Linked DNA regions of Rattus norvegicus. The protein of the gene in region 1 purifies or fractionates together with the protein of each later gene. This does not show direct contact. Links are inferred from orthologs where the notes say so. Each region holds a gene or a part of one and is shown on either strand. Other genes may lie near its edges.

The links. Proteins that work in one complex are often made in the same cells at the same time.
Region 2: the proteins of Aurka (region 1) and Wdr62 purify together in Homo sapiens (affinity purification with mass spectrometry; 3 studies listed by BioGRID and IntAct, counting the BioPlex papers as one, with this or other methods). This does not show direct contact. The link is inferred for Rattus norvegicus from reciprocal best matches to the Homo sapiens genes AURKA and WDR62.

The regions. Positions count from the first base shown.
Region 1 is NC_086021.1:181,546,109-181,548,524, forward strand, and holds the end of Aurka (aurora kinase A), read right to left. Parts: intron 2,240-2,416; coding exon 2,065-2,239; intron 1,977-2,064; coding exon 1,791-1,976; 3' UTR 634-1,790; downstream 1-633. UniProt on the Homo sapiens protein: Mitotic serine/threonine kinase that contributes to the regulation of cell cycle progression.
Region 2 is NC_086019.1:94,647,959-94,651,610, forward strand, and holds part of Wdr62 (WD repeat-containing protein 62), read right to left. Parts: intron 3,516-3,652; coding exon 3,453-3,515; intron 1,934-3,452; coding exon 1,876-1,933; intron 1,311-1,875; coding exon 1,140-1,310; intron 367-1,139; coding exon 229-366; intron 1-228. UniProt on the Homo sapiens protein: Required for cerebral cortical development. Plays a role in neuronal proliferation and migration.

The DNA of each region.
Region 1 (2,416 bases):
GAAGTCTGCTCAGCTGCATGGTGGAGAGGACTGCATTCGTTTCTCTTGCTCACAATTCCTTTCAAATTGCATTGACAGCCAGAAGACAAAGGAAAGAACTGTTAACTAGCAGAATGCATTTTACAGAGCTCTGGCTGACAGTCTCCTTGCCCACGGAATCATTTGTCTCAGTTAGCGTTTAAAGGAGTTTTTGCGAGGCAAATTTTCCGTTTGTGAGATCTCTGAAGTGGGATTGTTATTTTCCCACTGCCAAAACACTTTCACTGATTTCAAATCAGGATGCATTACAGAAACTATTTCCTAGGACTTCCTCGAAGCTAAGCAAGATGCCCCAGGCCAGTGGCAGGCAAACAGGATGGGGACTGTCAAGCCTGTGTTCAAAGAGCCTCGTTAGCTTCCGGCTCTGGATCCTCACCCTAGCTGCTCTCGGCTCCTAACACCTATGCAAAGAAACACAACAAAAGCCAACTCGTGCTACCCACAGCCATGTTTTTTCCAAACCTAACCCCACTCTCAGCCCTGTACCCAGCAGCCAGAACCCAGGAGGATGAGTTGCACCCTATAAACCAGCAAGACAAGCAGAGCGGATCTGCTCCTGTGCTATCTTTAAGTAGAACTGGAGCAAGGAAACTATTTTAAGATGTAAATCATTGTGTCTCTACTTTTTTAAGCAGACCAAGTGAATGGCTTCGTCTGTGAACCAAATAAAAATCTTTGTAAAAGCGTGTGGTCTGTCATCTGGTAAGCCATCACTGGAAGAGCACGGTGGGAATGTGTCAGTCATCTGCACATAACAACACTCACAGAGCATGAGCAGAGCAGGCAGTGTCCCGTGCTCGGCTTCCTTCCCTCAACCACCTCACACCTAACTGCAGCTGGGCAGTTGCTACTTCAACAAAGCCAGTTAGTTTAGGACAGGACCAGGGACCAAAGGCCACTTGTCCCAACTGGAGGGCCTCTGCAGTTCCACTCAAGCATGTTCTCCACTTCATGATGGTGGTCCAGTTGGCATGACATTTAGCCCTGGGCACCCGCATTTCCAGTCATCTGACATCTATCCCAAGTTGGCCATAAAAGCCTGTTTGTCTAATTCCAAGTCCCCCTCTGGTTGATGGACAGATAGCACTGGAGCACATCCAGCAGGTCAGAAAGGCACGGCGGCTGCCCATGGTGAGCCAGCAGTGAAGAGATGCTCAAAGGATTAGCCATGGACTCCAGGCAGGTGTTATAGTTATACATTTAACAAGTTGCATACATGACAGAACAACATAAAAAGTAGCCTTTAACATCCAGAAACACCTGAGGCAGGTCCCAAGCACAGGCTCTAGAACAGTGGTTGAGGATCTGAACCCCACATGGGCTTCAGAAGGCTTAAAACAGGAGGGCCTTGAATGGGTGTCCCTTAAAAACAGTCTATACAAATCTTTATTTTGACACTAAAAGATTACATATCCATTCCAACAGCTTTTCCAGGCCTGGTGACCCAATAAGTTACACACACACTGGCACTTGGAGGCTAAGACACAGGTGATCACTGGTAATTTCCCACAGAGACCCCCACACCTTGGAGCATAGGCCGGGGGGGACAGTTGCAGTGGAACCTTCCTTCCAGATTACATCAGAAAAAGCAGCATGGTTCTTAGGGGCTGGGCAACAGGCGGGGCTTCCTGGGTGCAAGGCCAAGGTCTAGTTGCTCAGCAAGGCACCCTGAGGGCAGCGATGATGGTCTGGGCGGCTTCAATGGGACCTTTCTCACAGTTAGTTGCACAATGCCCATGGCTCCAGATTCCCTAAGACGATTTGCTAGTTGCCTCTTTGCTATTGTGGCCAGTCGGAGGTTTTGAAGAATTAGCTTTGATCCAAGGGTGCTCAAGGACTTCCGCTAGTGTTAGCCTTTGACTTGAGTTGTGTTTTAACAGTCTTGAAATGAGGTCCCTGGCTCCCTCCGTCACAAAGTCAGGGAATGTGAATTCAACCTACAGAATAAATGATAAAAAGAACCGTGGGTCAGAGGTATGCACGAATAAACACCACCCTCGGAAGAAGCCTGACAGCAGCGCTCACCCGTGATATCCTTCTGTAGGTCTCCTGATAAGTGTGTGCCTCAAAAGGAGGCATCCCCACTAGGAACTCATAGCAGAGCACCCCCAGGCTCCAGAGGTCCACCTTCTCGTCATGCATCCGACCTTCAATCATCTCCGGGGGCAGGTAGTCCAGGGTGCCACACAGCGTGGTTCTCCTAAAACAGACAAGGCTGGGGCTGACACAGACATACTACGTGGTGACGTGACATGAGCCCTCCCTATGGCGGGCCAGTGCTCTCAGACAGGTGCCCACCTAAATGGTCAGAGGGAAGCACGTAAGACCACACGCTAGCACCAAACTTCCCCAGACCCATCCAACTCCAGGAGCTCCA
Region 2 (3,652 bases), on another chromosome or scaffold:
TTCCATGTGGAGGAGAGGGAAGAAAAGCAGAACGCATACTCGGGGCAGAGGGGCCAGGAGGCAATGGTTCAACAGTGAGCTCTGGCCTGGGGGCAGAGCCCAGCAGGATTATTAGTCAGCACCTGGATGCCCGAGAAGCCAGGTGACCTGGGAGACCCTGCCACCAAGTTTCAGGTAGACAAAGGAGCCATGCTATGGGGGCAAAACCGGAATGGGGCAAAAACTCACCTTGGCCTCTGTAGAGGCTTCTAAGAACCAAAACCTAACATGCCGATTGCCAACAGTGACAAAATAGCTGCTGTCCTCAGAGAAGGAGAGGGCGATGACTCGACACGACACCTTGTTGGAAGCCACCACAATGTCTTTCTGAAAGAGTAGGCACAGAGCAGATCACAGCACCACCCACCATCTCCACACCGTGCTCTCCCTGCTCTCTCTCCCATTTTTCTTGGACCTGGCAGTGATCTAAACTCTAGGGGAAACTGTGTGCAACTCTGGTCATTCCTAGTCTCCAAGAAACCTAGTCCCCAAGAAGAGTGACAGAGGAAAAACTCCCACCACGGGCCAAGCTCAATAGCCGCACGTTGGGAATGACAACAGCAGGAGGGGAGGTAGGACCATACCATCTATGGCTACCACACAAAGAACTGTTGCTCTGGGCCCTGCCCCTCACCCCTCACAGAATAAGCTATGGGCTCCAGCTCACACGGGAGGTGGGAACCTCTACCCTGCCAGGCTGAGCTCAAAGTCACATGGTGGGTTTGAAGCAGACAAAGCCCAGCCTTAGACTGCATGTCAGGGAGCTGCAGCCCACACACCAAAGAGGCATATGCTAGAAAAACCATTTTACAGAAACAGTCAAGGCATTTGTCCACGGTCATAGCTAGTCAACATAAAAATAATACTTCTGTCATAACCTTACAGTGGGGGTGCTTGGTTCCCCATCTGTTCCCTACATCAACACAGACATGATGGCCCAAACTCTACCTTGCCACCAGGTGACCTCAGGGACAGAGGCCTCACCGTGAGCATGGTGCAACAGCAGGCAATAGGCTGGTAGGTGCTCCCTAATGCCCAAGATTTAGGGTGCTGGTGACTCCCTGCCTACCCATACACCCACATGCCCACTGGGTGCTCACCTTCCAGTCCCAAACATTGAGGACCATGTCATGTTGGTAGCCCATGGACACGATGTGCTTCATATTGGGTGAGAAGGCCACACAGGCCACACCATACTTATGGCCCAGCATCTCTGCCACCTGAGTCTTCTCTTCCACATCCCAGATGCGCACAGCTGGCCGGTGCCCATTCTGGGGGACAGAGAGGGAGTGAGGCCATTACTATTGCTGAACTATGTGCAAGGCAGAGTGTGATGGTTTGTACACGCTTGGGCCAGGGAGTGGCACTGTTAGGCGGTGTGGCCTTGTTGGAGTAGGTGTGTCACTGTGGGTGTGGGCTAGAGACCCCCATCCTAGCTGCCCAGAAGTCAGTCTTCTTCTAGCAGCCTTCAGATGAAGATGTAGAACTCTCAGCTCCTCCTGCACCAGGCCTGCCTGGACATTGCCATGCCCTCCACCTTGATGATAATGGACTGACCCTTTGAACCTGTAAGCCAGCCCCAATTAAATGTTGTCCTTCTAAGAGCTGCCTTGGTCGTGGTGTCTGTTCACAGCAGTAAACCCCCAACTAACATAGGGCTAGAGGGGCTGTTTAAGCTGAAGCTGCCACTGCTGTAACTTGTTCCCAAAAGCCACTCCCCTATTCACCACAGGGCTTTTCTAAAACTAGGAGCCAATTCAGGGATTCCCGGGCCTGCAGGAAGTAGAAGGAATGGCTCCCAGACCTTCCTTTTCCACCTGCTCAGTCAAGACTCACCTCTCCTGTCACTATGTACTTCCCATCTGGGGAGAAGGCCAGAGCACTCAGGGACTTCCTGGGGACAAGCAAAGGGGTCGTCACTGGTTCCACCAAGCACTGTGCTCTTGTCGTTCTACCCACTCCTGGTCCCCAAGGCTTGGAGAAGCGTCAGCTCCTACACAGCCACTGTAGCCTATGTGCCCAGCATGGCACTCAGGGAATGGAACAAAAGCAAAGGTCTCCTCCTCCCTCAATACCAAATCCAAACACTGTAGACCCAGAATCAAGGTTCTGTTTCCTTCCCCCCAGTGTGGAGTGAGCTCTCCAGGACCTTACTCACCTGTAACACAGCCCTGAAACTCAAGCGCAGGAAATAGTACAGGCTTAGCCTAACTAGAGGAGAGGTGCTCAAGGGTGGACCCTTGTATACAGGGCACAGATATACCTCATGGAGTGTTCTAGAAACCCCAACAACTGAAATGTTTCTAATACCCTGTGCGCATTAATGCACAGGGAGGCCGAAGGTCAGTCTTCAGTGTGGCTCCTCAGGAGCTATCTGCCTTATTTTCCTGAGACAGGGTCCCTTTCGAGGACCTAGGGCTCACCAGTTAGGCTAGACTAGCTGGTCAATGAGCACCAGGGATCCCCGCCTCTCTACCTTTCTAACACTGGGAATATAAGCCCATGTCACCATCCCTAGCTATATGTGTGTCCTGGGGACTGGATTTAGATCCTCATGCTTGCGTAACAAGGACTTTACCCACTGAGTATCTGTCCAGCCAGTCTCTGATCCTCTTACCTCCCCTGAACATGGGCCGACTTAGCTGGCATGCCTTTGGAAGCAAGCCCACGCCCAGACTGTCTAGCTTTAGCCCCTCATTTCAATCCAGTTTTTACACACTTTTGTTTTTGTTTTCTTAGACAGGATCTTATTGTGTAGCTCAGGCCTCACTTCACAATCCTCCTGCCTCAGCACCCTAAGTGCTGGAATTACAGGTTCATGTGCTTCTATGTGAGCCTGACAAGCCCACAGATGATTTACCATCCTCCCTGCCTGTGTATGTATCCGGTGACTTCTCTTTACGTCCATATGACATCCAGGGCCCTCTCTAAGATGCAAGGGGGTGATACAGCTTCTGCTTAAGAGTCCCTTCCCCCTTCTTACTCCCCTGCACTTGGGCCCATGGCTACTCTGCTGTTACTTGACCCTTCACCTCTGCTGCGCATCTGCCCTTGCATGTACATGGCTATCATTACTTCTGTTTGGGCTCAAACTCAGGGAGGCCTTCTGATATAGCTGTTCCCATTCTCTTTCCTAACAGCCCTGCAGGCATTTTCCTCTCCTTATCAGCTAGTAATCTGCTGGTGGGCTCATGGTCTGTCTCCCATGCTGTCTAGAACTCTAGAGGGCAGATCCTTGTCTCTGTTCACTTCTAGGTCACCAACTCCTGGAACAGTACTTAGCACAAAGCAGGTCCTATGAACACGGCTGAGGGAATGAACCCACAAACACCTCCAGGCTCTGTGGAGAGGAAAGGGGATTTGGGCCAGCACCCTGGTCCCCCAACCCTGGCCCATGCCCAGTCCCAGCCTACCTGGTAGTGTTAAATATATGTTGCTGCTTGTTCTCCTTGGGGTTCAAGACCACCACCACACAGCTGGGGAAAAGAAGGAAGTGAGTCTAAACTGGGGGCTTGGAAAAAGTACTGGGCCCAGGGACAATTCTCTCCCCAAAGAAAAACCCATGTGTCAACAAGGCTCCCCCTGGTTTTGTTTCTGGTTTTTGTCTCATCAT